Linked DNA regions of Arabidopsis thaliana. The protein of the gene in region 2 interacts with the protein of the main gene of each other region in a pairwise test. Each region holds a gene or a part of one and is shown on either strand. Other genes may lie near its edges.

The links.
Region 1: the proteins of NAC032 (region 2) and AT1G22190 interact in a two-hybrid assay, tested with the Arabidopsis thaliana proteins (one large-scale study listed by BioGRID).
Region 3: the proteins of NAC032 (region 2) and AT3G48510 interact in a two-hybrid assay, tested with the Arabidopsis thaliana proteins (one large-scale study listed by BioGRID).
Region 4: the proteins of NAC032 (region 2) and YAB5 interact in a two-hybrid assay, tested with the Arabidopsis thaliana proteins (one large-scale study listed by BioGRID).

Annotation. Positions count from the first base shown.
Region 1 is NC_003070.9:7,831,800-7,839,721, forward strand, and holds AT1G22190 (Integrase-type DNA-binding superfamily protein), read left to right. Parts: upstream 1-3,981; 5' UTR 3,982-4,445; coding exon 4,446-5,231; 3' UTR 5,232-5,612; downstream 5,613-7,922. Other genes in the region: AT1G22200 (Endoplasmic reticulum vesicle transporter protein), read right to left, coding at 6,058-6,149, 6,249-6,315, 6,413-6,505, 6,594-6,647, 6,893-6,944, 7,034-7,101, 7,187-7,366, 7,552-7,644 and 1 more.
Region 2 is NC_003070.9:29,095,758-29,103,910, reverse strand, and holds NAC032 (NAC domain containing protein 32), read right to left. Parts: upstream 4,073-8,153; 5' UTR 3,883-4,072; coding exon 3,714-3,882; intron 3,612-3,713; coding exon 3,337-3,611; intron 3,248-3,336; coding exon 2,930-3,247; 3' UTR 2,152-2,929; downstream 1-2,151. Other genes in the region: PBC2 (20S proteasome beta subunit C2), read right to left, coding at 5,806-5,854, 6,007-6,101, 6,459-6,543, 6,863-6,952, 7,071-7,178, 7,278-7,459, 7,886-7,891. UniProt on the Arabidopsis thaliana protein: Transcriptional activator that positively regulates age-dependent senescence, dark-induced leaf senescence and stress-induced senescence.
Region 3 is NC_003074.8:17,965,123-17,972,477, reverse strand, and holds AT3G48510 (AtIII18x5-like protein), read left to right. Parts: upstream 1-3,887; 5' UTR 3,888-4,025; coding exon 4,026-4,910; 3' UTR 4,911-5,124; downstream 5,125-7,355. Other genes in the region: PDE312 (Nucleic acid-binding, OB-fold-like protein), read right to left, coding at 7,070-7,355.
Region 4 is NC_003071.7:11,302,938-11,312,428, reverse strand, and holds YAB5 (plant-specific transcription factor YABBY family protein), read left to right. Parts: upstream 1-5,418; 5' UTR 5,419-5,689; coding exon 5,690-5,761; intron 5,762-6,679; coding exon 6,680-6,799; intron 6,800-7,447; coding exon 7,448-7,556; intron 7,557-7,647; coding exon 7,648-7,696; intron 7,697-7,802; coding exon 7,803-7,878; intron 7,879-8,437; coding exon 8,438-8,506; 3' UTR 8,507-8,510; intron 8,511-8,618; 3' UTR 8,619-8,974; downstream 8,975-9,491. Other genes in the region: RPN13 (regulatory particle non-ATPase 13), read left to right, coding at 64-185, 273-296, 502-596, 890-967, 1,038-1,092, 1,165-1,247. UniProt on the Arabidopsis thaliana protein: Promotes adaxial cell identity. Regulates the initiation of embryonic shoot apical meristem (SAM) development.

The DNA.
Region 1 (7,922 bases), about 21 Mb from region 2:
AAAATGAAGGAAAAAGTATTTTTCAAAGTGTAAACAAAAAGAGGGTATTTTTCCAAATTTACTCTATATTTTAAGGATAAATGATAAGATTAACCTAAATTTAATCGGTTAAAAATATAGGTAGATGGTCAGGACTTACGTGATTGCACAAAAGTAAAGGAAAGCAACAAGTGTTTAGCAACAATGGCAAAAGTCTTTTTATGCCAAAAGCTCAACATATCAAGGAAATGCATTAGCAAATGACATGTATTTAGATGGATACACAACTATATATTTTTTTCTCAAATTTTCGAATTTAGAAAATATATTTAATAATACGAAAATAACAATTTGTATATTTTAAGCACGTTTACGGAAGGAGTCCTATACTATGGAGTATGATTTATCGTTTCTGTTTATTGGTGTTTTTTTTGTAATACAACGTAAAAAGTCCATTAATGAGAACAAAATACATCCTTGAGAAGCTTTTTTTCTTACCATCTTGTACAAAAACATACGACATAATCACATAAGCTTTGTATAATAAATAGTCTGCAATGGCCATATGTCATGCAAAAATTAACGGAGACAATTCACCTAAAATCCACATGCAATTCCTCTTTCCCTCGTAGAACAACGTGCAACTGATCGAAAAACAACGACACCCTCCTTTCGATATCACCAAAGGAAAAATAAATTAGCAAATCTATTTTTCTCTACTTTCACTTCACCCAATACACGCATTTTCACATGCATTTGTATTTTACCAACTTGTTCTACTACTACTATATTTCTCATCTTATGCATTAATATAAATTAAAATTAGGTGAGTATATTTCTCATTTTACGTATTAGTGTTAATTAAATTAGGTGAGAAAATACAATTGTAAACTAGTAAGATCATTCAAAGTCAAGAGGTCAAAAAGACACGTGGAGTTTAATAAGCCTTTTAAGGTGAGCTAGTCAGATAAACAGTACAAAATGGACCTTTGAGGGTGAACACGTGGCAGATTCGCAACGGTTGTTTGACTTCGACAGATAAAACGGACGCGTTTGACGGAAACCGCGTTATGAGCATTAAATTGCAAAAGTTCATACCAAAAGCAAAAATCCAATCAGATCCACCTTCTTTTCTTTTCTTTTCTTTTCGACCAAATTAGTCACAAATCGGATCTACCTTTTTTCTTTACGATTTACAAATATTTCTCAAAAATCCTAAAAATGACATGTATGTACTATTATATTACTTGATTTAGATGCAGTGAATCTAGCTATCAAACAACTACTTTTATAGACAAGTTAAGGAACAACAATGCAAAAATGTCAGTCATTTCATTTGCCCCCAATAAAAAAAAAATGTCAGAGAACTTGAGAGTACACTAATAAAGTATTATTGTTTAAATAAACTAGATGAACACCCATGCTACGCATCGATTTTTGTTTTTAAAATTGTCGGAAAAATATGATTATGGTTTTTTGTTGATTTTGATGTTCATTTTGATTGTTTGACAAAAAAAAAAGATGTTCATTTTGATAAATTCATCCATTTAATATAATTATTATTTTTTATGATTAGATTCATCTATAACTCAAAATATCAATTCAACTACAATATGAATATTTATATATTTATTATTCTAATATTTCACTATCATGATCACATACTATAACAGTAAATGATATACTGATATAAGTAGTTATATTACTTATGTATTTTAAAACTTGTCTAACTTAATTGTAACAAACAATTCTTTATTCCATATATTATCTCGTTATCTAGTACACAATCACATCCTGATATGCTAGTAATTTAAGTCAACATTTTAATTCTTATCCCTACCATATAATCATATAAAGTCACATGTTGTTGTTTTTTTGGTATGTCTAATGTCTAGGATGACTATTACGTGAAAAAATTATATATCAATGTTACAAAATTATCTTAACACACAAAATGTACCGAAAGAAGTTCATATGATAAATCAAATTCACAAAATATAATAATAATAAAATATTTAACTAAAATTACTAAATTAATATGAGGTTAGGTAGCAAACATCTAAACTACAACACAAGTAAATTTTTAGCCATTATAGATTAATGATTATTGATTAAATGTTTTTAATAAAATAAGTAGAATAAAATGAAAGTAGTGCTTGGTACATTATTATGACTTTTTATTTATCGAATGTTTTTTAGAAAATTCATTTAAGAGTGAGATTAACACAACAAAAGACTTTTAATTTTTTCTCAATTAGTTTTGCTAGTTTTTTTATTTAATTAATATAGAATGACACATGTCATTTTTTTGTGTGATGATGTATCATTTATATGGAGAGTGTAGGCCAATTTTCATATATATATGATTTTGAATAAAAAGAAAAATTCAAAAGGAGAAAAATAGGCAGCAAAAAGCTGTCAGTTATTACATACAGCTAAGACTTGAGTAATGATTTTGTAGTTGACTATTTCATTTCCCCTGTGGACACGCTCGGCTTACGGTTATGAAATCATGCGTTGGAGTTTTTCTTGCTTTTCCCTTTTCTCATGCGTAGAGTTTTTTTTCTTTCTTTACAATTTGTTTAACCATAGTTTTATAGGTTTGTAGCTATATGAGTGGTTAATTTATGGTCTAGCTAATTGGTCTTTTTCTTATTCAGTTTTTGCATTAAATGTAGATATCAATACTGAAAGTTGACTTTTATCAAAAATACATAACAAAGTATAAGAAAAATAACGCTTAGACAAGTTATTACACATATGCAATGTTCACCAAAGCAAGCAAGTACGAAATATACATGCATATGATAATACATGTAAACGAGATAAATCAGCATCGTAAAGATGAACTGGTAACACGGACACGAGCCATCCACATGGGTGGTACCTCCTTATGCGCGTCTTCCCTCAAAATATTGATCATTATAAAATGATGACACCATAGTCTAACCTTGCAAATTGACGCCGTATTGATTGTAGTGACATTTGTACACGATTACACGAAGCAATAAATTAAGTGATGCAACTCTATAAGATATCGTAAGATGATGAAATGTTTAATAAACTAATTAAATGGATGATATAATACGGAATTGACATTTGAGGAGTTCTCAGCCATTCATTCTAACCCTCTAGACCCTTCTTTTTTAATCTTGTATGATTTATTATCTAAATAAAAGTCTAAACCACTCATTAACATGATATCATCATTACATTGCGAGCCAAAATTATTGCTTAACAATCATGAAGTCTACGTGTGTCACATTCGGAACCTCCGAATAATTATTTTTATACTTTTTCGGTTTGATATACTTCAATATATACTATTAATTTGGATAATCTCATTCTTAATATTCTCTCAGTTCCATTTTATTGAAAATTTTCAGAAGTTTTGTTTTCGCATATATACAAAAGAATTCTAAATCTACTAGCTGGACTAGTGGACCAATTGTTGGACGCCTCTACCAAATAAATCGTAAAAATATGTTGATTTCAATTTTATCAATTTGGCTGGAATCGAAGTGCTCGTGTACATTAGTTTCAACCGCTTAGAAAGACGTCTAGCTAAATGAGTAGACAACCATTTTTTTAACTAATCTTTTAAAATTTATGGAGTTGTGTACGTCCACTCACTTCTATTTGAATAGAAAAAAGATTAATATGGTTATGGAAGAAACGTCCCATAAAGCCGGTGTGAATGTAATATAATGAAATGATTCTCCATCAAACTATGATTGTAAAATTAAAACGCTTCGATTATAGAATAAACTTGTAGAAACATTTTAACTTGTAAAAATTAACCATTCTAAAACAAAACTTGTTAAAACTCAACTTACAAACAATGTTTGATTGAAATTGAATATATATTATTTGGAGTACGTAAACATGGATGATCTTATCTGAAATAGTACATAAAATAACAAAAGAAAAAATTAATTAAACATATAAATTTGAGAAATATGAGGAGGATGGAAAAAAGAAGTCACGCCACGCCTCCTATATAAACAAGAGCCAAGCTAATGAGATAAGTGTATCGGTGAGGCTGAGAGTTATTCACTTACAAAAAAAAAAAAAAACTTGAGTGTAACCAAAAAAAAAAGTTGATATACTTTCTGGTTTTCTCCTTAACTTTTATTCTTTACAAATCCATCCCCCTTAGATCTGTTTATTTCCCGCTACTTTGATTCATTTCTGTTAGTAATCTGTCTTTCGTATAGAAGAAAACTGATTTCTTGGTTTGTATTTTCTTAAAGAGATCAATCTTTTTTTATTTTTGATCTTCTTGTGTTTTTTTTTCTTTGTAGAATTAATCGTTTGTGAGGGTATTTTTTTAATTCCCTCCTCTCAGAAATCTACACAGAGGTTTTTTATTTTATAAACCTCTTTTTCGATTTTCTTGAAAACAAAAAATCCTGTTCTTTACTTTTTTTACAAGAACAAGGGAAAAAAATTTCTTTTTATTAGAAATGACAACTTCTATGGATTTTTACAGTAACAAAACGTTTCAACAATCTGATCCATTCGGTGGTGAATTAATGGAAGCGCTTTTACCTTTTATCAAAAGCCCTTCCAACGATTCATCCGCGTTTGCGTTCTCTCTACCCGCTCCAATTTCATACGGGTCGGATCTCCACTCATTTTCTCACCATCTTAGTCCTAAACCGGTCTCAATGAAACAAACCGGTACTTCCGCGGCTAAACCGACGAAGCTATACAGAGGAGTGAGACAACGTCACTGGGGAAAATGGGTGGCTGAGATTCGTTTACCGAGGAATCGAACTCGACTTTGGCTCGGAACATTCGACACGGCGGAGGAAGCTGCTTTAGCTTATGACAAGGCGGCGTATAAGCTCCGAGGAGATTTTGCGCGGCTTAATTTCCCTGATCTCCGTCATAACGACGAGTATCAACCTCTTCAATCATCAGTCGACGCTAAGCTTGAAGCTATTTGTCAAAACTTAGCTGAGACGACGCAGAAACAGGTGAGATCAACGAAGAAGTCTTCTTCTCGGAAACGTTCATCAACCGTCGCAGTGAAACTACCGGAGGAGGACTACTCTAGCGCCGGATCTTCGCCGCTGTTAACGGAGAGTTATGGATCTGGTGGATCTTCTTCGCCGTTGTCGGAGCTGACGTTTGGTGATACGGAGGAGGAGATTCAGCCGCCGTGGAACGAGAACGCGTTGGAGAAGTATCCGTCGTACGAGATCGATTGGGATTCGATTCTTCAGTGTTCGAGTCTTGTAAATTAGATGTTGCCATAGGGGTATTTTAGGGACTTTAGAGCTCTCTGCGATGGAGTTTTTGGTCATTGCAGAGATTTTATTATTATTAAGGGGGTTTGTTATGTTAATATCAAATAAGTTTATCTACTTTGATGTTAATTAGTGTTAATCTCTGCGTCGGTCCAAGCTGTTTTTTTTTGGCATGCTTCGACCGTGTGAGATTTCTTATGTAATTTTTGTAGTTCCTTGATTTTCTTAGTTCAAGTTAAATTGGCACAAAAGAACAACGATCAAAGTAGAAGAAACTAAATTCCTTAACTATAAAAACTTGATTGGTATGAAACTGCAAAAACTCCTTCTAAATCTACAAAACATGTAACTCACTTCTCGTAATAACTAAATTCTGGAAGTGTTGCTTAGACTGTAAATGAGGAAGCATCCTGAATCAACTTTAGTGTATTTCAATCCATGGCTTTAAGCTAATCTAAGAAACCACTTTCTCTGATTATCAACAAACGTAGACACTTAAAAAAACAAGGCTTTAGTTTAATAACATAAAGCAAGATCGGTATCTTCAGATTTAGACTACACTTTAAACAAATGAGCTCAAATTAAATAGGAAAAATTAACATTCGTTTCAATCGGTGATAACAACATTTTACACTTTGTATGTTGCCTATGAAGAGATAGTGAATAGTGAAAGGCAAAGTTCAGATCCTGGAATATCTTACAGTACTACAAAATTCTTTAAATCATCGCATTGTCACAAATTCAAACCTAATGTCTAACTGTAAAACCCGTAGAGATGATTCTCCAGTAGCTGATCAAGAAAGTGTGGAGAATATCAAACAACTCAGTTGAATTTACCAATCTCCATTTTCTTCTTAATTGCTCGTTGTCCATGGTATATGAACGAATCTACTATTCCCGATACCGTGAAGATACCTGCAAATCAAAGGTATAATTTTAGTTTTGAATTTGATGATAAACATATCAGTAGGGTATGTTTAAATTGAATGGAGAAGGGATATATATATTGATTACCTCCTACTATAGCGCAAACATTTGTTAGGAAGTGCAAGAACTCCACATGTTGCTCCTCAAATATCACCTAGCCAACAATCAAAAGTTAAAATGTTTCTAGAGATATAGTCTCCGTTGGTATTAAGAACACGACTTGGAAAAAGAAAAAGAAAAAACGAACAGACCTTAATTGGCGATAGATCATAGTAGAAGAAAACACCAGGCGGAGATTGCATGCGACCTGCTTCCATGTTCTGGAAATGTTCTGTCACAGAGAACTGTTAAAAACAAAAACTCATAGGTTAGATTTTACAAGAAGAAAATGACAAAGATTTTTATATAGAGATTTGGGGATGTGGGATTTACCTGGTTTGACTGTATTGTATTCTGGTGAACATCGGTGTATATGCTTGGTACCACCTGAAATTCAACACCACAATCCATTCTTTATCCCTACGCTCAACAATCTTTCTAGCATGCAAAAGCTACCGATAAAGAAATTCTTATTGCATTGGTCAACAAGCATAATGTATTAATGTCTTTGTACTTCTCTATCAGTAACCTGAGCTAATAATGAGCCTTTTAGGAATCTCAAAATTTTGTACCTAAACTATTGTCCCAGGTGAGAGCATTGTCTATAGATATAATGTACAAATGAAGCAAACCTTGATGAAGTATTGATAGACGCCACTCTGTTTCCCCTGATTCCACTGCACACTGAGAGAACCAAGAGAATGTTTCAGAAGATAGGATTATTGAAAAAGCGATAACAGGTGCGAGTAATGGCTATATAATTGAGTTTTTACCCATCAAGAGGGTTCACTACACCGGGGAAAAAGTCTCCAAAGGCCAACCTGTTGACCTTGTGGCTAATCTGTGTAATGATATAATAGAGTCAAGACCCATTTGAAATATGAGCTTATAAAGAGAGAATGAAACAAAAATAAAACTTTTCTTACATTGTAGTTGCCTTGCTGGAACAATAACATATCATGAAATTGAAAACCGGATTGATGAAAGCTTTGCCCAGGAATGAAATGAAAGTTCCCAGCAACTTTGTTAACTTCCAAGAAACCGTGAACATTACAACCTTCACCTTCTTCATCTTTTACCTTTTGCACAAAGCCTTCTCTTTTACACTGAAATGAAATGATGAGTAAGAATATCATACAACTAGATGTGGGGATAGCTGAAACGAAAGACCAGATACCCATGGTTTCTTTAGATATATCCATTTTAGTGCCAAACAAGGTGTCACTATTTGTTTCAAACTAAGTACCAAGATCAACCCAATTTTGTTGTTAGTGAAGGAACGTCAGTATACCTGGTCGATTGATTCAGGGTCCGAGAGGGCCCAACCTTTCTTTCGGTAAGCTTCGCGAACTTCCTCACATGAATTACAACAAGCATCATCTGACTGTAACATGTAAGCAATGACAACCACAACATGTAACAAGGATAAAAAACATTTCACCACCATAGAAGAAACTAAAATGTAAATTAACTGAATCAACACTAAAGAACTCAGTTGAATATTCTCTACTGCAACTTAAAGTCCAATATCGCTTGTCAGAGCATATTCTTAGAATAATTTAGGGAAGCTTACCGCTTCTGCTCCAAAACAGGAACCACAGTATGTTTCATTGTGTTCCAACCTTCCACCATGTTTTTGTAAAGGTTTTTCAATCTATGGAT
Region 2 (8,153 bases):
CGCTTCTAGAAATTCAAAGAAGCAAAAGAACCTTCCAGAATCAGCGAAGAAGAAAACAGAGATTGGATCACAGAATCCTAGGGCTAAAAAAATAAAACAAAGAATGGATTTCGTAGTTTCGTTGGATCAATTGGAGAACAACAATAATAGTATAGAAATAGTAGGAGCATTGCGATTTTAAAAGAAGAGGAAGCTCACAGGAAAATCACCTTTTGCTCGTTTGTCGTTGTCGAAATCAGAAATGGTGAAATTAACTCTCTCGAATGAGGAAGAAGAACGTACGAGAGAAAGAGAAGAGATCAGTCCCTTTTTTTACTTTTTTTCAGTTTTCGTTCGTTTTTTTTTTACTTTTTTACTTTCCTTAATCATCAATTTGTTTTTCCCAGCCCTTAATCATCCAATCTTATTTTCCCATAATTATCCAATTTTCTGTCATCATAAGCTTGTTAACTAGTACATTTGAGTGTCCTAATATCGATTTATTATTTCTCCACATTTGATTTTTTTTTTTTTTACTTTTAAGTCAGTTGAAAAAGTATTTATATGATTGAAGATTTGGTTGTTGAATTTTCCACGGCGGCCATAATAATGGAGTGAGTGTGATTTAGTTAGAATTCTGAATTACTCTTATCTTAGCATAAAGTTGTCCAATCTAAAGAATAGGATTATTGTTAGATTTTATAAACATTGAAATTTTAGACTTTTTCAATGTCAACTTTGTTTGGGTCTCCATTTGGTTGAGCTTATCTTATTCATTTTTTAGCCAACAAATTAGGAAGAAATAAAACGTTCCTCAAGATTCATTTTTTCCCTCTATTTAACGCATGTTTTGATAAATGTAAAAGTATTGGAAGTTGGAACATTCCTAACTCCTAGGTTGTGTTATGCCAAAACCAGGTAAATTAACATTTAAAACTACATCTAAGTTTTGTTCTTTAAAGTTTTAAGAACTTTTAAACTGAAATTATGTGTCTATGTATTATCTTGCGTTTTGACCATGTCTTGTTTCCAAACTACTACTATATGATTTGGTCTATTAACTCGGAACCATTTAACCAAAATATATGTTGTAACAATTAACCTTATTCCAAATGGGGCATAGAGCGGTGGACTAATTATTCTCTACGTTATAAAACATGAGTGAATATGTATGTAGCCATCTAGCTATTTACAAAAATAGCATCCATCTTGTCAACCATATATACACAGAATTCTCGCACAAGTCACATAATACATGCTCCCAAAAATATTATAGTTTTAAGTTATAACCTAGGCAGAAAAATATTCTATTCACAGTTTTATCTTAACCGAGTTGTGATCTCGAATCTGTCCAATTTCGTTAAACTATGATATGTTTGTTGAAAACTGGACTATTACATAAGTATTATTCACATCTACATACATTGGTTAATTAGAGAGAAATCACTAATTTGGTTGTGACGAATGCGAGTTAATTAAACACAACATTATGCATTGTGGATAACAGATTTACACTGTTTGATGGAGTATATTGTCCATATGATTTGAATTTCCTGATTTAGTAGGGGAAAAAAAGAGTTGGATAGATTTTAAAACTGTTTTAATGCTATTGGAAACATGAATAATAAATTAGTATAAAGTGTAAAGAAGATTTGGTTGTAAATTGAAAGTGAAGGTTGTAAGAGCAACAACAAACAGACCTAACATGGACTTCAAACCCCACACTTCCCCAGTGAGATTGACTGTCTTCATTTTTTTCCAGTTCGCAACAAATATGTCTGGTCCCCTTACTTTACTATTCTTTTATACTATGACATCCAAGCTTTTAATCTTGATTTTCACTTCCCTTTTTATAGATTAAAATATAGATTAGAGACCACATATACACTCGCAAGTTTCTTAATTAACCTCTAACAAATCACATCTTATGAAAACTTGAGCATTGCGCAGTTTAAACGTTGATACTTAATTTAGACGGCCATATAGTAGATACCATGTTATAGGAAATAATCATCTCATAACAATTAGATGGAGGATAAATTTATTTGAAATAGTATTTATGTCATCTACTCATAACTATTTTTATTTAATGACATGTGATAATAAAAGAAACATCATTCAATTTCATGAGCTACAAAATCATAAAGATTTAAAACTTGTGAATTCATAATGCATCAAATTTATTATATTGTTCTTGTAGAAGATAGTTAGATCAGTTTTATAGTAAGGAACTTTACGAAATTTCAGTCGTCGTTTTCGTTAGATAGCGATGTATTTGACTTGGACTCCGATTTAACCTAAACAATTCAAACCGGTTAAACTAATCATGCCTCGGTCTTATTAGGAAAGACAAACTCGTGTCAAAATCAAATAAATATACAAAAGACAAAAACAAATTAATTAGAAATTAAAGCGAACAATGAGATTTGTTTGAATGCAAGTTGCAACGATAAGACTGTTATCTGTCAGACCCTACCATTACCGACACTTTTTCGATACCATGCAGTCAGTAAAATCGGATCTCGAGCTCCCCTCCCTCCCTAATACCCCAAACACTAGTGATATCTTCCAATTTCTTTATTTTATTTTAGTTTGTAATTTAGTTACTATTTTTAACTTATATATATATATAACAAAGCTAGATTGTAGTACAACCATAACAAAAAAAAAAAAAAAAAAAGAAGAAGCTAGATTGTAGTTTTGAGTGAAAAAAAAATGTAAAGAATATATAAGTGATTAAAATGAATTTATATTGCTTCCTGAAAATAACAACACAATACAGTAGCTTGTCTTACTAAGGGAGAAGAAAGGCTAAGGCCCAATTGTTGTTGAAAAGCCCAATGAGGTCACTTCTGGATCAGCTAGCGGGTTTCAAGACGGCTACCCGACACGTGCGAAAACAGACAGTGATAGTTTCCACTTTCCACTAACTCTAATCGCACGTGACAACTCAGAAAGTTCCCTGCCTAACCACAAGTGGATCAAGCGTCGTCGACCACATCTGATTCCCGCCCAATAGCCGTGACACAATCTCGTTATCGGCGATGGCATCTACGTAATTAAACGGAAAATCAAGGGCATTACTCAACCGACCGTTGCTACACGTGAATTCCGGTGACACCGCTTGCTCCGAGCCGGAGATCAATCTCGCCACAGATTCCGGTGGACACGTGTCAGTCACAGGCTTTAACCCGTCCTCGATATCGCTTCGTCGCTTCTCGATGACACCTTTCTTGTTATATATACGACACAATACCCAATCGTCCAACTGTTCAAGAATATCAAAAACACGTCCGGTTAACTAAACCGATTCAAAATCATATTCAAAGTTCGGTTTGAACTGATAAATTCACTCACTCTTAGACTGTTTTTCTTACGAACCGACCGGTCAACGTCAGCGAGCCGGTATTCGTGCATAATCCAATTGGTTTTCTCTCCATTTGGAGGTTTTCCCGAGTAAAACACTAGAGCCTTCTTAATACCAACCGGTTTAGGACGACCTATTGGTTTATCAGCTCCGGTAGCTTTCCAATATCCAGTACCAGCTGCACGGTTGGGTCTTGAACCGTTTGGATACTTTCGATCTCTTGGTGAGAAAAAATACCACTCCTTTTCACCGTACAAAGCCATGTCTGTAAATTGTAAACCGGTTTATTAATTCTTAGACCGATTTTATAGAATCCTGTTACTGTTAGTGTATAGTGTGATTTAAAGGGGAAAAGAAAGAAACGTACCGGGAAGGTCCCAAGGATCATATCGGTACAAATCGAGTTCGGTGATAATCGGAGCAGGGATCGGCTGCGACGCGCATTTACGACAGAGATACATGAGGACTAGCTCCTCATCCGTAGGATGAAATCTAAATCCTGGTGGAAATTGCAAATCAGCCCCAGATTTCATCATAATTAACCTATTTTCCCCTTTATTGTTGTTTAGCAAGAAAGAACTGTAAAGATATGTTTGAAAGTTGAAACTTCTCTCGAGCAAAGAAGAAAGATGACTATATATATAAGAAAGGTCGTGGACACATGGCGGATAGACAGGGGCTTTGTGTTGGTGGAAAGGAATCTCAAACAAAAATAGAAAAATGGTTAAATCTGTATAGTGGAGGATTCATTTGAAGTAGATGGAGAGGGACACGTGGCAGACTGTAATGTAGGTGAGTTTTGTCATTGCTTACGTCAGACTATTTGGAATGTAGCGGTCCGAGAGCATGTCGATTTTGGGAACGAGCAATAAGAATCGACACGTTCGATCTTATGCGTGTACTTTCCTAAAGGAGACCAAACGTTGACCGTATCTCAAAATTGTTTCTCTCATTGATTTCGTGAGATTTTTAAGGGTTGTATTTTCGATCTTACTATTTTTAATGTCTATTTTTTCTTTGTTCACCTGTTATTTTCGATCTTATTTGAAATTATAAACGAACGTCATCAATTGATTAATGAACATTCTTTTCGCCGTAAATTTAACTATTCTCTTTCCGCCGTAATTAAAAAGTAATGATTACTTTAAGGATATATTCTTCTCCATTAAAGATCGATACTCTATATCCTTGCTTCCACAATTGTTGGTGTATCAATTGTGTGTGTAAAATACATTCCACTTTGAAATTCAAGGTCTATAACATTTACTTTTATAAAACTAGTACGTAAAACGTCGCATCCAAACTCAAATTCGAGACAAATTAAGTTTCTTTCTTTATAACCACGAAGAGGTCTATGATTTAGCGTACACTAACGGCAAAAAAAAACAGAATCGCAGCTGTTAGTTTTCTTTTTAAAAAGCACCTCATAGTTATCAACTTATGCTAATGCCCACTTAATTCTGTCATTTTCTCTAATGGAGTCCACAAGAACGTCATCTCGAGCCGCCTGTGCCACCTAATAGATAAACGCTTCGATCTATGCCACGTGGAGCCGGAATGTTAGTTCTGCCGCTTTTTATTGTGGCGGGTTGAATTTGATAAAAAGCTCAAAAGTGACCGAAGAGTTTAGACACGTGACATGATGTGGATGGTTCATAATCAAAATGATTAGACGCATGAATTTACGAGCATCGATAATGATTGCCCAAGTAGAACCTTTATATGCTTTGCCCACACAGGTAGTATATGAATACCCACCGAGATTAGTTAGGTCGGCAGGATTGGGTTTATATTCGTGTAACGACCACATCTATTGCACATGCCACGTTTTATATGAAATCATCAAAACGCTTATGCGTATGGATTTTGCCTCTCTGGCTCGATCTAACGCCACAAACAGAACAGGACATGCAAAATCATTCACAATGTCAGATGGCAGCATCAGGATCATCATCATAATAGTTTGATTCGTTTCTATTTGCAGTTACTAGTGATCACCTTCCAAATTACATTGATTTCATAGTTATTGTATGATTTCGTTAGCCAAACCATGTTTATTGATAGTTGACCAAAATATTTCGTTGACATGTTAACGTCTTTCTAAAGTCACCCATAGTGAATCGAACATGAACACTAAGAAGACAAACAACAAAACGTGTCACTGATCAGTACCAACCTTGAAAACTAAAGACTGCGACAAACCAGAAATCTGGAACACTTGGTACGAAATTAAAACAGAAACAACAAGGTACATAGAATGATCGAGTACTGGAACAAGATAACAACTGCTATTTCTTCATTTTCATTGAACTCTATCAATAGCAAATAAAACATCCGAGAGAACGAACCACAATATCCAGTTTCAGAGAAGGAACATAGTTACTATGGGACGAGAGCTTCTACATAACCGGGTTAAGGAGTATACCGAACTTGGACAAAAGCAGATATGTGATATCAGATCAATCCATCCTTCCCTTCAGGATTCTCTCCTTCACCTCCTTTGGTGTTCTGGACAACATGACCATGAAAGAATGTTACTATCTTATATAATACATATCCTTAGAAGATAAGTGCACATGAGGTATATTCTGTAAGAAGCCAGATGTGACAGAAAAAAAGAAGAAGAAGAAGAAGAAGAAGATGAGGAGAACAAAACTTACACAACGTAGACATGTCCTCCCCACCCACTAAGACAATCGCGGTCAACTGAAGAGAGAAGTGCTTGTGAAATTGTCTCGAATAGTTCCTCAGCTTCCTGAAACTCAAATTTGTTAAGTCTAGTTATATGCTTTTCATTTCATCACGAGTCTGTTTACAATGCACTTCTTAGAATGATGACCTTGAAATTCAAACTTTATCGAAGCAGTACTATGGCAGGGAAGTAATCGCAATATTGAAACATCTTAATCCTAAGCCAAATTAAAATATACAGAGAAAATTATTGGAGTTACGTCATATATCACCAGCACTATGCACACAAATATTCCTACCAGATCAAGATTCTACAATAGAATACTTACATATGAATGATCCTACCAAATTTTCAGGTGATAAACACACATTTGAGTATCCAGTGAATCGGTACAAAAACAAGTTTTCAGAAGGCACATACCATATCTGGTTTGAACATGGCTTCACAGGCACCATATAGAGATTCTGAAGCAGTTCCCGAGACAACAAAATCTTTAGCTAACTCCCTGCATTTAGAGAGAACAAGCGTCAAGGCATGCTCACCATTGCAACTATCATGTTCGGTAAAATCTCAACTATATTAAGAATCATATTTAAATCAGCTCAACACATGTAAAATAAGTTCACTCATATGACATGCATACACTGCATTGGATGACAAAAGACCAAAATTAGATTCCAACTAAAACCAAAATATCAATCCACGATCATTTTCTAGCTGACCTAGCAAGTTTCACGATTACAGTCACTGACTAAGTAAATTAAATGGCATTACAGACGAAAAATGAGATATAACGTCTTAAGTAATGAAGAAAGCGAGCATACTTGGCTCCAATAGAATCCATAGTGCAAATGAAGGGTTTGTTATCATCTCCCAATCCAGCAATCACAGGTTGGCACAAGAATGGGCCAAATCTGAAATAAAGAATTTGGTACTTAGTAGTGGCAATGCCACATTAATCATAAGAAATCAGATTGTTAAGAGGAAACTAGAAACTAATAACAAATTGAGAGAAGAAGACATTTCACCAACCTTTTCTCATAAAGAATAGCCGATACAAGACTAGCGAAAGTTTCAGGCTTCATGTCTCTTTCTTCCCTAAGCTGATATAACTTATGACGAAATACGAGTCGCTGGTACCTTCAGTACCAAAGACAAAACAAAAAAAAACGGAGCCCTAAATTTTGTAATTCACCTAAAATTCTCTGAGGAAAGGAGTAAACATATACGAGAGCTTACAATGTCTGGACATCGGTGGCGAGACCGGAAAGTCCGATGAAGAGATGATCGTGGATCTTAGATATTCTCTGAAAATCGGTAGCAATGGTTTGTAATTGCACACCAAGCCTCCGATCACTAGCTATAGCGAAGCAATTCTTCCCTACCATAGCTACGACGGCACTTCCATTGTACTCGAAGATCTGAATCACCACAATGTCCACCGATTTTATCGTTCAATTCATACTATCAATCTTTGCGCAGAACAAACAAAAGTTAGAAATTGAAAAAAAGAATTCGGCAAGGAACACTTACCGACATCGGAAAATTAGGGTTTACTGAGTGAAGCTTCGGGAGTTTTCCTATCGGAGAAGAAATCTGAGCAAGAGAAGAACAATTATTAAAGTCGACGATGGCTTGGACGAAACTCTAGACAATTTTTTATTTTTTTTGGTTCTTATTGATGGGCCTCGATATTATTGGGCTTTCAGATGACTTTTATGTCTTTATTTTTTCTTGCTCTGCTTTTACTTTTTTACTACGAGATAAATTTTGCTTTGGTCATAAAAGTTGGGGAAACGTTTTTGTGCAGGCATGTCCTCAAACTCTACTTATTTGGTCACTGTCGCCGACATTATGCACTGCGACCTGCTCATGGTATTAGAAGTGATGGTTCGGTACATGGTTCACCAAGGGACTCGTTCACACGCCCCTATTCGCTGCAATGTTAGCTGAGTGCATTGTCGTGCAATGCATACCGGTCTTGTTTTCACCCAAAACCATGGTACATTTGGTATCTTCGGAAGTAATTACTTGGTGTTCACAGAGTTTTTCGGAGCTCCTGCTATGCAACTTTTCATATGTACGGTTTCCTCTGTCTGTGCTTTAGACCGGGCC
Region 3 (7,355 bases), on a different chromosome or scaffold from region 2:
TCAACTTTTTAACCTTTTCCCTGAATTTCATGTGAGAGTTACGTGTATCTTTATATTCAAGTTCAAGTAAGTCACTTGGCAGTTGGCACGGTCCAGAGATACGATAATATGAAAATAATGTTCTTGTATAAAACTAAAGGTAATTGGTTGGTATAAACATTGCAATTGACGAGGCTCATGTACACAGTACACAATTAATCGATACTCAAATAATATTGTTTATTATTCAGTATTTAGGAGTTTATTTACGTTTTCCTGAAACAAGAAAGATAAATGAGTTATAATTAGCTTTTGTTGGTGTAATTTAGATTTAATTAATTACTGTTTTATAAGAACTTTGATCCGTATAATTTGGTTTTCAAAACTTTCCTCCTCGCATATAAAAGATAACATTGCTTCCTTACATTTTAGAACTATCTTGAAGTTAATCTTGAAGTGCGAATATAATATTAGATGGCCCTCAGAACAACTGTCTTCATCGGAAGATCAACTCAATATTAATTATAAGAATCGAATCATATTTTATTAATTGAACTGATAAGATTTGTGAAACTTATCTTATGAACATACCAAATATTCAAATTGCGTAGGTAGGTACTAGGTATTGTGGCAACCTATATGAGACGTGCCACGTGTTCCAGACGGCATATTAAAAGAGGGTGAACATTTTTGTTACTATATTTTATACAAGTAACTACCAAGCCTTGCCCACCAATCAATGAATCACTTTTTTTCTTTTTCTTCCCAAACATAGTAATTATATTATATATTTGAAATGGCTAATCAGTCCAAAAAATCAAGACGTACAAAGAAAAAATTAAACTTCTAAGTCTAACACTATATGATCCAAACAATTTACTAATTAAATTATTATAAACATGAAAACTGAAAAATAGTTTTTTTTGCTAAACTAGACTGAAAAAATAGTTGTAAACGGAAAAAAGAAAACATTGGATACCCAAAAACAAATCTAGTGATGTTGAAAACACATACCATTTCCAATAAGAAGTCATCTTGATCAGTCCATGCTGTTTATCTCAAAGCAGAAGCAATGCAACTATTGATCGTGAATGCAAATATATATGGTCCACGACTCATATTTGAATGAAATGTTAATTCCACATATTAAACCGTACGAAATGATATTATTATTTTATTTTTTAAAGATATTAAAATCTTTTTGAACTACAATTCCAAATGTTGATTCCAAAACTCCACTGAAAAAAACAATTAAGATCATTCTAGCTAACCATATTAAACCTAATGATATTTAATTTTGTTTTTCCGAGTTTTGTAGTTCACAAACTAACAAGATTTCAAAAACTTCAAGAAAAATTGGAAAACCAAAGTGTGGACGGAGTTACCAACTCTAAAACCTGATATTTATAAGAAAACATGCTAACATAATCATAATTATAATGACTTATACCAAATTAGATTTGAATATTTGACTACTGATGTCTTAGTCGAAAAAAAGATTGTGGTTCTAGAGTGAAAACACTTCCAGCGATAAATGTGCTGTACTTAAAACATATAAAAAAGTGATGAGTACTTTATGCTTAGTATAACTGGTTTTGGTTAATTTCATTTGATTAAATAAACAAATAAAGTTAACTACTAATAGTTTATGTGATGATTATTATAAACATATTCTTAGCAAAAAAAAAAAAAAAGATTATTATAAACATAAGCTAATGAATTGTCTTAACGTGTCCTTTTGCGTGTTCTCATGCAAAGTTCACAACACGGACCACTCGTAATACTTTCTAGATTCCCTCGCACCTTCGAACACTACTATCCCAAATCTAAGATTAAATAGTTTTTTACAAGATTTGTTTGGTTAGAACTCTAGTCTAAGTTTAAGATTTGGGAATTTTGTTTATTAACTCACTCTCAGATTTGAACCTAAGTTATGAAACGACAACAAATATTACGAACCAAAACTATAAATTCTGACTGGTTTATATTCACTCATTTTATCATTCATAAACCAAGGGATTAAATGAACCTTTTTTATGACATATAGAAATTAATTTTTTTTAATGATTTTTTATTTTTCATTCTACATAAAATTTATTTAATACAATTCCGTTATTCTATAATACAGTCAATCGTATTATCTAAATATTACTTAACATCCAAATTATTTTAGACTAAACTGTTGGTGCATATGATTTTGGTTTGAACTCCTTTTTTTCGTTTTTTTCACTGAAAGATAGATTATAGATAGAGTTTTACAAAGCTAAAGCTGGCGATTAACAAGATAATCCTAGAAACTAAGCCGACGGATAACAAAAAATCTTTGGAGACTAAGATTTTGGTTTGAACTCTTATGAGATGTTTATTATTCTACCCAAAAAAATAGACTTCAAACAGATTGAATAATGTCTTTTTGAGAATGTTTTTAGCTCATCAGAAATTTAAAATGGTTTGGACAGTAATATGTATCTGACGCATATAGAAGATTGAAACTAATTACCATCTCTTGAGAAAACAAAGTTACACAATCAAACTCTTTGTTTGGCATAGGTCCACTGGCCTAAATTTTTTCTTTGTTCCCATTTGCAAAAATTAGATTCGAACTCGTAAAACATATATATCAAGTCGCTAATAGCCATTAAACTCATTTACTGGTCAAACTATAACTGTTATTTGTCAAATCCGTTATTGTTTGAATATGTCTATCCTCAAAAGAAGATCTCGAAGCAGAAGCTCAAGTAAAATTTATATATGTATTATGAATGTATCCAAGTTTTGTCCATAAGAATTCCTCTAATATTAATAGCTAAATTAAGGAAACACCTATAAACCAGATATAGATGATTATACTTGTTATAATCATTTACTATAGATAGGTACAATAGGAGTATATTTGATTAATCAATATTCCTTCTTGATATTTCAATAACGATTACCTAACTCCATTGGCACTAATCTTTATTTTTGTCACCAAATCTTTAAGTTCATTTACGCATGAGATCATCTTGTCCCCTTTCAGATCTAATTTGTCACAATCACTTTAAATTTAATTAAGATGCCATTCGCTTTAAATTTAGACTTGGTCAATGATTATAATTATAATCGATCGACTCATCACCTTTTGAGTCGTGTGACTCGTGCGTATAAAAACCATTTTTGTTGTCAGATATTTTAACTTGATTTTGCCATCTCTTCACTATTGTTACATCAGTAAATCGCTTCGTAAGTGGAGATTAATTTGCAAATTTTGGAACTAATTACTGACCAGTGATCCACTCTATATATGGTTGTATTAGTACTTGATTGGCAAATAACAAAAAAAAAACTTAAATAAAAAAACTGTGTTATTCTTAAATTTATAGTATATGGATTAGTTTTAAGAGTGTGGTTGGGAAATATACGAAAGTCCAAGAATCTTATTAGTTCGTTCACAATTGTATAGGGATGTTGTCACTAATTTTAACCAAATTATACCTTTTTATCTTTTTGCCTAACATTTTTTTGACGTTGCCCCAAAACGAAGCAATGAGTTGAGGGTTAGTGGTAAAAATAATCAAAAAGATTATATGCATAGATTTATGTGAAGTTAACCAAAAAAAAAACTCGACCCAAAATACATAATCTTCAACAAGAACTATGTTTTCTTCTTGCAACAAGAACTATCACTCCTGTCATAGCATAGACCAAACTTTTTTTTCTCCTACACTAATATATAAAGTTACAGTTCTTTTTACTGAACGGTAAAATTAATGGTTAGAGTTGGGAGAATAACTTAGGCAAAAAAACAAAAAGAGAGAATAACTTTCCATGTGCAACCCAAACCCTTTACTACTGTCTTCTAGACCCAACACAACCACAAGCGTGCAGGCAAAGACACGTGTCCATGTCACAACTAGTATAGACTCCAACACGTGTCCAGATCACAGACGTTATAAAACCCTTACCATTTCTGTTCAGTGTATTCCTCAGCTCAAGTAAAGCTTTTACCTAATTCTCAAACATTCTTTACACAAAAATATCAAGAGTGATATAGATAGCGAGAAAAAATGGACGGTAGGGGAGGGTGTTGCATAGCTAGGTACGCCATTGGCTCTGGACCGTACGATCTTTCCAAAGCAGATCGCATCATGCTTCGATTTCGTCCCATTGCTCCTAAACCGGCCAGCCCCGGCGGAGTAAATCCCGTATCCAGCGGAGATAGCGGCGGCGGAAGCTCCGACGTTTCCTTTAGATCAGCTAGTAGAAGAAAGAGGAAATGTCATCAGCTGAAGGAGAATGGTGGTAACGCCAAGAGGTGCACCCGGCGGAAGACGTCGGATAAACCCGTCGTTCACGGCAGTGCTAATGCGGTGACTCTTTCTCTATTACCGGAGAAACCTATAGATCTTAAGGCGGCGGTGGAGAAGCAGAAGCGGCAGGGTCCGTTATGGTTGAGTTTCAAAGACGGCGGAGGGATGCTCACACCGGCTTATCAGACACCGGAGATTGTGCAGAGGACGGTGGTGATTTCGTCGTGTATGACGGTGGAGCGTGTAACGGACGCTTGGATTGACGGTTACGGTTTAGGGAGGTCAGATGAAGAAAGGAAGATGAATCTTGTGAGAGACACGTGTCCTGGTTTCATATCCGACGGTTCAGGGAGAGTCACGTGGACTAATGACGCGTATCGGAAGATGGCTAGGGATATTATTCCCGTGGAAGAAGGTGCACCGGAGATAACTAGCGGCGATAGTTTTCACGTGATCGTACGGTTGGTGATGAGGGAGAGGCCGATGCTAACGTCCCCTGGATTCACATGCAGAATGAAACTCCAGTACACGTGTCAAAATCGTGAGAGAGGCTCAGTCACGGTGCCTTGCGACGTGTGGAGAATGGACGTCGGTGGTGGTTTTGCTTGGAGGCTCGACGTTAAGGCCGCTTTGTGCCTTTGACACCGTTAGATCAACTTTAGTCACTATGGGCACGAACATTACACATGATATGTCCTCCAATGATAAAATATGGATTCAGAACTAATTAGATTTCTAATGGTTTAACATATATTTATGTCGTTTTTGTTCTTATGCCTTCTTTGTTTTTGGTTGTTTTTTAAATAGTTTTTTATTTAAGAATTTTTGTAAAAAATGCATCTTTCTTTTGTTTGTTCTTGACGCATTTGTGATGCTAAATTTCAAGCTTGTTGCTTAAAAATAATTAATGAAGGAAAATTTTGTAAGTATTTAATGCGTATCGTCGGTGCGGTTCCCACCTATATTGGACGCATGTTGTGAGATTTCACGGCAAGGACGGTTGGAAATTACGGTCCGAGTGATCGTCCAAACATGCAAATTCCAAAATGGTCCAAAAAATGTGAAACATACCATCTTGATTGCTACAAAAAAGTGTGAGCGAACCGGTCTTACTTTGAGCTAGTTACTCACTTGAAGAGATATTTCAGTCGAACTCATCACATTTTGATTTTGATATTTTCTTTTCTTTTGTCGGCACTCACGTTTTGAGGAAACAAGGAATATAAGAAAGTAAACGACCCAATAAACGTGATACGTCGGAGCAAAAGAAAACAAAAAAGGAGGGTGAGGAATAAATGTTGTACTACAGCTTTGAATGTACTACAGTCTACCTGCGGTAAAAGTGCGATATCTAATGATACGTGGGACATCTATATATCATCTATGCCATAATAGAAATGCCACATGGACCAATGTTTAACTATGTGTAGCTGTGTTTTTGGAACTTAAACATCAGTTCCATTTTTTGACAAAAAAAGAAGAAGACGTCAGATTCAAAACATTCAAATCAACGGTGTGTACCAAATTCCAAATCGTTAAGTTAATGAGAAACTGATTTTACCATCTCCGGATAAGAAATAGCGCTACAAGACTAAAATCAAAGACATTGTATGATACTATAATCGAGTTTTTAAGGGTCAAATGAATAGTGTTTAGCCGGGGACTTTTCTTTTATAAATTGTTTTTTAGAATCTTTTTGAATTTATTTTTCGTTATATATAATCAAATTAATCAAAACATAAATAAATTAAGAGTTTTAAATAGCAATACAAGTCTACCTACATTGGACATAAATTGTATAATAATTTAGTTAAGAATTTTAAGGAGACTTTTCTTTTGTAAATTGTTTGTTAGAATCTTTTAGTATTACTTAATCTTCCGTTACTATTGTTAATGACCTAACTGATCAGAAGCGGAGTACTGAGACGTTGCAAACACCATCCTTAAACCGTAAACAATATGTATGAAGATTGTTTTTGGTTGTATAAAATAAAACAAGTCAACGGACGATTTAAACAGAATAATAAAATTGGGCCGAAGCTTATTAGCCTTTTAAGGCCCACAAAGAAGAGCGAAAACCCTTAACGAGCATATACAACTCGGAGCACCTCTTTTCTCTCGCTCTCTTCCTCTTCAAGGTTTATATTTATAACTTCTTTTGCTGCTCTCAACGAACTCTTCCAGGCTAATAAACCGTCTCTGTTTTCATCTTCTCCGTAGCTGAGATAGCTCCATACCCTCTCCGACCCAAGTAAACTGATTTTCCATGTTATGGAGATTTGGTTCTCTAACTTATTGCTTTAGAGTTTTGATGTCATTGTACAAGTTTAATGCTATTATTTTTGTGAATTAGGTACAACCTTGCAGAGTAGCTTTGGTAAGAGTTTGCCTTAAGAGTTTTGTCATCAAAGAGCACACATGGTGTGAAGTTTTTGGTATACACGGAGAGATGACAAGGGTTTTTGATATTCCAGGTACGAACGAGAAAGCCTTTTGATAGAAGTTGATGTTTTGGAGCCCAAACAGAAGAAACAAGAGAAACATTTAGGCGTATTTTGCGGTGTCAAGACTACCTTCTCTGACGACGATTGATAGAAAAAACAAAAAACGTCACGTTCCTAACGTTCAACGGTGTACTACAAGATCCCAAACGTCTGGCTAAGTTAATAAGAAACTGATTTTACTATCTCCGGGATAAGAAGAAATGAAAAAAAAAAACTATCAAATAGATCAAACCTAACAGACAAAAATTCAAATAAATCAACCTCGACAATTTCTTATTTTTACTTTCCTTTTAAACATCAGTCTGTCAAGACTTGAGTACCGTTAACAAGAGGTTGCTGTTCCGAGTAACCGATACTGCTCTCATCACTCAGAATGCTATAGTCAAAATCGTCAAAATCATCGTCATCCTCTTCTTCTTCCTCTGACTCTGTTTCTTCTTCTTGACTCGCCAAGGTAGACCCTTCTTTTCTTTTCTCTATTGTCTGCTTAATCGCATCATCGTAAGACATGTCATACCACACATTGCCTTTCCCAACAATGGATTTGTTGTGTGCATCCTTCATTCTCTCTTGCTTGCTAATC
Region 4 (9,491 bases), on a different chromosome or scaffold from region 2:
ATGTGAAAAGTATTAGCTTATATAGAATGCTATGGCTTATTTGAATTTTTTCATCTTGCATAGAGCGGGAAACTTGGTTGTACCAAATTTGTCTTCAGAGGTGAGTGACGTGACATCGTCCTCTGGACCGGTTAAGCTGGCAGACCTGCAAAGAATTCTGAACAACCTCTCTGGTGGCCCTGTAGGTACAATTCTCTATCTCTAGGTTCTCCTATCAATAGGATTTTTTGGTTTCCCTCTTATACTTATTTAGGTACGGTTGTAATGTTTAGGTATTGCTGGAGATCAAGACGAAGGTAAATAATTTCAATGTTTTAAATTATTTGTATATGATATGGTGCGAAGACATTATATATTTATCCTAAAGTCTGCATTGGTTGGAAATGGCAGTGCCCAGCTTTTTTCTGTGATCAATAATATGTTCTCAACTGTTAATTGTTCTTTCTCTCTACTATTGTTCATTACTGACCTCATCGTCCACTCTTGTTATATCGTTCAAAGGTTTAGCATTAGGGGATATCTTGAAACCGGAGTTGATAATGCCATTGCTTGAGGCGTTGCCGGTACAAGAACGACTATCTTCGCATTTACCTGAGGTATGTCTTGGTCTTCAATGTTTCTGTATTCTATGAATATGAACATTACATGCAATTCTCTCCATTTTAGTTCTGTCTTCTGAAAATGTCTGTTATGGACCAGAGGTTTTAAGCAAAAACTTCCCTTTAACCTGGCTCTGATACCAAATTGATATGATGCGAAACCTTAGCCTTAGCTCTTGTTAAAGGACCCGTTGCTAAAGCTTAAAGAACAAGAGATTGAAAGCTAAGCTGAGGCTAATCACATTGGTCATGTACCAGACTAACCCAAAGGCTAATCTAATCAATCACAGGGTCATTCTAGGGCAGAAGATATACTGGAGTTGTTGCAGAGCCCTCCTTTTCGTCAACAAGTAGATGCATTTACCTATGTAAGCCCATCTGTGACAATGCTGTTTCCATTCTTGGGTCGATATTCTAACTCAACATCTCTCTCTTTAGGTACTCCGCACAGGACAAATAGATTTGACTCAGTTTGGTATAGACCCAAGTAAATGTGAGTGATTCTTACGATGTTGTTTCCATTCTTGTTGTTTCTTTTTCTCTTATGCAGTTTTAACTTTTGCAGACAAGTTCACAGTGGACTCATTCCTTGAAGCACTTGAAGACTCGGTTTCAACGCAATCAAGGGATGCGATGGATGAGAGTTAATCTTTTCATATTCTCATGATTTTGTTCGAACTTTGATATTGAACTGAGAAAAACATCTTCGTTGTTTGGTGGATCATTTATGGAGTTTTCATGAAAGTGTAAGGATCATCATGGGATTTTCCTTTTCTGCCACAAAGGTTTCTAAGCATTTATATCAATTTTACGATTTAATTAGACTAGGACATGCGGAATCACGATTTCAATAGGAAAAAGAAAACCCTAACCATAGAGAAAAACTTTTCATAATTTTCATATGCTTTGTTTTTTTCTTCATAATTTTCATATCCGTGTAACATAAAGTCAATGTCAATATTCACTTACAAGTTCACAACCATACGAAGGTTATCACTGATCAGTTATCACCAAATTATTTCTCAAATGTTCCACCACAAATATTGCAACGCCTAGGTCATTTTCTAGTAAAGCGTAATCAAAGAAAATGATGTCTTTCTATTTAATAAACATGTTGCGATGCTTGTTAAGTCTCATGATTTTTCCATTTACCAGTACTATCAATGCAAATTTGTTTGCAAACAAACGAACAAGGCTAAACCAAAAAGAAAACAAGGATAGGAAAAAGAGGCAAAAATTAAAGATGGATTTGTAAGATTTCAATAAATACAGATTTCAATAAATATCGTAGTTTTTCTTTTTGTAAAATATCATTTTTTCTTTTAATCTTGTAGAACAAAAATAATTTTGGAATACAATGTATAATCATTTTGACTCTTTATGTGTCTTCTCACCATATTTTTTTGTATGTTTGGGTTGTACTTGGTTTACGCGTTTGCGAATATATTCTATTTGCTTTCTAGTTCTAGTAAAATCGAAATCTGGATGTAGTTCGGGAGGGTAAGAAAAACTGAATTTTGTTAACAAATTTTTTGTCTCATTTATTTTCTACACTTTATCATTGTTTCATCCACATTTACAAAGAAAACTATCTGTTGTATTATAGTTATATGACAAAAATAAATTTTGTTCAAATTATTATTTGATAAATCAAAAATGTTAACATAACAAGTATGTTACTGGGAAAAAATCACGTTTCTCGACTAAATTGAATGGTAGAAATAAAATCATTCAAAATAATAAAATTTACTATCATTCATTGGGATCATAAATAGCTTTGCTGTTTTCATAAATACCATTTCATTGCTATGAAATACAATGTTTTCCACTTTATAAACTTGTTGCGATGCCTATTCTAGTGATTTTCTGATTTTTTTCTCATTTGCAATGTTGTGAGCAAAAAAGCGAACAAGGCTAAACCGAAAAGAAAACAAGGAAAGATTAAAGATGGATTTGTAAAACTTAAGGGAAACTTCCTCTAGTGCACATTCTCTTGTTTAAGACATCACTCAGGTTTACATCATTTTCAAGGTTTCCTCAAATAATTTGGCGACGAGTTTAAATATATAAAAAATGATGTGAAAATTGAAAAATAGGAAATCGCCCCCTAAGTGCGGTGGTGGAAGGAGGGGAGAATGTGGGGTTGCAAGAAGCCATAAATGTGATGATACATCGATTTCATGATAACTCCTTGTAACACATCACATGAGCTATTCAACTTCGCTCGACTCCAAACCAATCTTCAATTAATCTTCAGGTTTTTCATAATAATAAAGTTAAAAATATTTGATTGTTTCCTTCTTAATAAAGAACCAGCCTCAAAAAAAAAAAAAAAAAAAATTAGTTAGTGCACCTGAATAATTTGGGATCTTAATTCTTTTTCACTGGAATAATTGATGAATTAATTTAGTTTTTTATAACTTTAATGAATCTCTCTCTATATGTCTTATAGTTCAAGTTATTGATTTTATGGTAAGACAACAATTAAGAGAATAGATCAATATTTCAATTATATATGTCAACATATGAATGGATTATGTTTTTTTAACACTCTATTTGAATGTTGAAAAGGCGATCAAGGGAAATTAGGTTACTACTGTGATGTATGTCAAGGTTGTAGTAGAAATTAGACAGACAATAGTAACAAGTAAAAACTAGCTACAGTAAAACCTCTATAAATTAATAATGTTAGGACTACGAAATTTTATTAATTTGGAGAGGTATTAATTTATCGATAAATTAATAAATATTAATTTATAGAGAGATTTTCCTAATTTGGTAACTTTTAAAAAAATTCTATAAGATTTTTTTCATTATAGAAAATATTTTCCTAGAACCAGTTACAAGTAAAATATAATAATAATGTCTAGAAAACAATACCAAAAAATTTGATCCAATAAAATATGAAAACTATAGTCAAACAAAGAACAAATATGAATTTAAGCAAAAATATATTATAAATATATTTTAAAGAATTTTTTTACTTATAATATATATATATATATAGTTGATATATTTATACAATTATTAATTTATGATATTGATAGGAACATATATTTACATAGAATTTTCAAAACAATTATTATCTTATTAATTTATCGATTTGTGTCACTTTTTACACTGGTCCCAACTCAGGACCGGAAAATTTTATTAATTTACAGAGGTTATTAATTTATAGAGTATTAATTTATAGAGGTTACACTGTATATGTGTAGTTAGAAGCTTTTTAGTCATCACATGATTTAAATTTATTTCTAAGATGAAATAGACAATCTTTAATTTATATATATAAATATTATTTGGGTTACTCGTATAAAGGTCTACCACTTTTCAGATGTTTAGAACTCTCTCTTCCTTTCTCTATCTAACAAACCCTAATGTCCATCCAATCAGTTATCCAAACTAAAAGAAGTGGACTCTAACAAACCCTAATGTCTAATCAGCTGTCCAAAATAGCATTTGGCTCATCCCTAACTAAACCTGAAATATATCAAAAAGTTAATTACCAATGAAAGCATATAAAAAACATTTGGCCACTTGCTTTCATGCTGGTCCCAGCTTTTGCACCCTTCCGTAGCCACACTACTCTTCTCCTTTTTTTTTCCTCTTTCCCCATTTCTATGAAATAGTTGTCTAGATTTTACGAGTCTGCACATCCTCATATATTTTTTTATTGATTTGGTGATCCAATTTTTAATATGAAAGAATGAAAAAAATATTGGGGTCTTTTTAAAAATGTAAGTCTTAAAAAAAAAAATATTAGAGAGAACCATATATCATATGAAAATGTTGATTTCAGTTTATCAATTAGGATGATAAAACTATTTAGTGTATTATTAAATGGTACCTTCGAAAATTTACATAATTTTTTCTTAATTTGTGTGAATTTTGTTTATAATTAATGATACTCTTAGGAAAAGTGAAAGAGAGTGAGTAGCTTTTTATTTATTTCTGATTTGCATTTATATTCAAGATTTAGAAATGAATAATACAGGTAAAATTTTCATCTATTGCTAACCATAAATGCCAAGTTTTAAACAATCAACCTTTTTATAATTCAGCAGTACTAGTCTACTAAACAATCATACATTCGACAAAAGAAAAAATTCAACCCTAAATTTGATTGAAGTATCCCACGAATAATGTCGAAGAGGAAATGTTCTCATCTACCTTTTTTGTTGCTGTTGTTGTCATCAACGTTCTCATATACCAATCTTTCTTTATACCATCGATATTATAGTATCTCAATTTAGTGTTCTTGGAAGGAAGGCCGACATACAATATTCTCGCGCATACAAATATTCTTCCATTACTACATACAACATCTTGCATATAGCCGACTCCCCCTGGATTGGTTGTATAACATTATGATTCAAAATATTGTTTAGGCAATCATCACTTTTAAAAAGAATTATATATCGAACTTAAATTTTGTAAATTGCTTTAACATAAATATATATATATATATATATATATATTTTTTTTTTTTCTTAGTAATTTTATTTTCACCATAATAGATATAAACGATGTATAGTAAATCATTGACGAAAATATTTTTTCTACAATTTTTTATCTATTCCATAACATTTAGTTTCGTCTCTTTTAAATAAAATATATCGTTTTTTATTGCCGTTAACTAATGTTATAACAAAACTGGTACATTACTACATTTTTAAAAAAATTACTTAACTACTATGTCCATCTCAGTATTTCGATAAGAATTTTTTTTTTTCTTATGGTACGCAACCCCATGAGTGAAGGGACCCTACTCGTTAAAAGACATAGAACATATAGCCTACATGGAAATTCCCAAATCCTTCACATTGCATATAATAATTTTGCCCCTTTAACTCTCATCCTCTCCTTAGGCTTATGTATTATCTTCCCATTTATTCAATTACCTTTATGATCACTTGGAATAGTTGTTGAAGTACAATACCCGTTTTTAAGGCAAGTGTCTGTTCGGGTTGATATATATATATATAGAGAGAGAGAGAGAGACTATATCTTTTCACCTATATAATTGCTCTCTTCTTCTATCTAAATCTTCAACACAAACATCTTGTTTGGTCCTATTTCTCAGATCGATCATGGCTAACTCTGTGATGGCAACCGAACAGCTCTGCTACATCCCTTGCAACTTTTGCAACATAATTCTTGCGGTATAATTGCTATACATATATATCTATTATATCTGCTGTTATATTATATATAATGGATCTATGCTTCTCCAAATATCGTATATATAAAGATATAATCAAGCATAGATCTACCTTTAATTTCCTTTGTACTATATATTGGTTTCTGATAAAGAGTGGTGAAGCTCTTTTCATCAGTTCCACTATCTTACAAATGTTCAAAGTTCTTATTCATTTAAATCTGTTTTAATTTATTTTTGTCAGTGACAAATATTTCATTTAGCTTATGGTGCCAGAGAGAAGTCACCATCCTTCTGCTATACATGACTTTTTTCAGCATCATATAGATTTATTTTCTGCTCTTTTCCTACTTTCCTCAAAGGAAAATCCTATTACGAGCATTTTACTTACCATTTTAAGTTATGACTCATAAGATAACCTATTTTAAAATGGCCATGCATATATTTGTGTTCCTTTTCTTTTTTTTTTTGTCAAAAATATGTGTGTTCCTATTCACTAATCTATAACAAATTGCGCATATTGAAAATGGAGTCACTTCCGGATCTTAAATGGTGGCTACAGCAAAACTTCAAAAGAGAAGATAATCATCTCTCAAGCAACTACTTTTGTTTAATGTCATAAGATTAGATTGCATTATTTCTATTTTGCCTTCTAAACCCATAAAGAACTTAACATGTTACCCAAAAAAAAAAAAAAACCCATAAATGATAGGAATATCTGATCTATATTAACAAGACAAGCAACAACTTTTTCTCCCTTGTCTAATGATAATTATCTTATAACAAATTTTAGTAGCATAAATTTTAGTATAAGCTTTTCGTCGATCTATGTCTTATGGATCATCTAGTAAACAGATCCAATTTTCCAAGAAAGAAGATCAATTAATTAATATTTGAGGTTGTGTTTGGCTAAAACGTGTAGGTGAATGTCCCATGCAGCAGCCTGTTCGACATCGTGACCGTCCGATGCGGTCACTGCACCAATCTGTGGTCTGTAAACATGGCAGCTGCTCTTCAGTCGCTTTCACGCCCTAATTTCCAGGTAACATCTCTCTCCTCAATTGTGAAGGGTTTATTGTAAATTTAAAAAAAAAAAAAAAAAAACTTGAACCAACCCTCTGAAATTTAGGGCTCTTTTGTTTGTTTTGAAAAACGAATGATAGACAGAAATCTGAGCCTCTAGTTGCATGTTTCTGTCTCCAGCCGCCGTCTACATCTACATAGCCCCAAAGAATTTAATATTACTTAAATATTTTACTCTTTTCAAGTCATGTTTAAGTTTATTTTTCCAGCTGTTACTGATATCTGCAGCCTTTTCGTAATTGCTTTTTCTTCATAGAGCCCTAGCTTTTGTTTGATCTATTACTGCTGTCGGTTACTTACTCTATGATTTGATTGACATGAATGTTAGGGTTTCTGGTTTCATAGGTTTGTTTTGTTTTCTATAAAATATATATATCAGATTCCTTTCTTTAAAGGTTTTGTCTTTTAGACTTTAACTACTCTTAAATATGAATGAAATATCTTTTAGTTGGTCCACTTTCTTTTTTCTCTTTTCATTTCCGAAACTAGACAATACATACATGATTGCTACTCAATCCTATTGATTCACCATTTTTGGTCTGAAAAATCAAAGAAAAGGCCAAGTGATTAAATACTCTAAACTTCTTAGCATTTATACTTTTATCAGGCAACAAACTATGCAGTACCAGAGTATGGATCCTCCTCAAGAAGCCACACAAAAATCCCTTCAAGAATTTCAACTCGTACCATAACTGAGCAACGGATTGTAAACCGTCGTAAGTATTGCTTACTATATAAACCTAAAGAAGTAAACATGAAAAGTAATTTGTGTACTGTATATGCTAAAATTATTATATTGTCTTTCAGCTCCGGAGAAGCGGCAGCGAGTACCTTCTGCGTACAATCAATTCATAAAGTAACAAAAACATTTTAGACATACATATATCTATATATCTATATAATGTTCAAATCTGTTAAGAAAGAGGTTATTGATTTGTGTGTTTATATTAAAACCTTTGAAGAGAGGAAATTCAGAGGATTAAGGCGAATAATCCAGACATAAGCCACAGAGAAGCATTCAGCACTGCTGCCAAGAATGTAAGTTTTTATTTCTTTTATATGTTCAAACAGTTTTATAAAGTACTATAAGCTTTTTTTAGCCAAAAGAAATATCTTAAGTTTTAGTAACCAATAAAGAATTATTGCGGCCTCCTTATTTAATTATAGTACATATGTCATAGTAGATGTTTTTTTTATTATTATTATTTTTTATTTTTTTATAGTTTTTTACAAATTCGACTTGGAGACCTTATGATTTGGAAGATACTCCATTTAATTTTATGAGTTGTGTTTGAAAACATATTTTAAGACTAAACACGTAGAGAACATTCTTAACAAATTTGTAAATAAATAAATTTAACTCTATTCTCTAGGATTTAAATATTATAGGTATATATATAATTTTCTAATAAGTTTATATCGAGTCACTCATACGAGTTGTGTAGAAAGTTAATCACGGGTACCAATTTTAAATTAAAAATAAGAATAATTATATGATCTTAAATTTATACAACTCTGATAAAAGATTGGGCTTTGACATCTTTGAAGAAAACTAGATTTAGTAATATTCTGATTAAATTGGGTTCACACTTTGTAGTGGGCACACTTTCCTCATATTCACTTTGGTCTAATGCTGGAGAGTAACAAGCAAGCTAAGATAGCCTAATAATGTAAGTGCTCTGTTCTATTCATCAATTGTTTTAGAGATTCACCTTAGTTATAAATTTTATTTTTATTGTAAACTAACATAAATTTTACTTTTATCTGTCTTGTTTTAGTCTCGAGATTAATGGTAATATAAGTGTTGGAGACTTCGAAGTAACAAGAGCTGAGAAGGCAACTATATGTATTGTATGATCTTTGGAACCGTATGTATGTAAGTGAAGATGTCTATCTTTAAAACCATCTATAGTTATAATTTAGTAAAAGCTTCTTTTAATTTATTTCTATGGCCCTTGTTGTATGGTTCGTCTCACAAGATTTATGAGTTCTTTCGGATATATGAATCTAAAATAAAAAATATGTAATCTATATTATGGTAAACCTATCTTATACTTGAATTATAAATAGTAAATATTACAATAAGTATTTTTTTTCTTTAACGATGTAGCAAATTCTCTATGAGTTAGTGGTTTTGTATCTTGTAACACGGAAACATTATTTTAGCTTTCGGGATACGGTTGTGGTTCTAATTCTTATACTGAATCATACACACGAGATCTAATTACGATGTAGCAAATTCCCTATGAGTTAGTGGTTTTGTATCTTGTAACACGGAAATATTATTTTAGCTTTCGGGATACGGTTGTGGTTCTAATTCTTATTCTGAATCATATACACGAGATCTAATTATATTTGACTCCAAAATACTGACCAAGCTTCTTTTTGATTTTCAAAGCTTTGATGGTGTATAAGAAGTCCTTATAAATTTTTTCTTTCGGATCTTCTAACAGGGAAACAATACTTTAGTACTTTAGATTTGAGATTCGGTTTTAGTTCTAATTCTTATACTTACTTATACACATGAGTTCACTCTCGAATAAATGACTCTCATTTATCCTAATTTGTTAGTTATAACAATTTTCATTGATTGATTTAATTGATAAATAATATTTTTGGTGTTTTTCCTATTTATCATTTTGATGCATTTA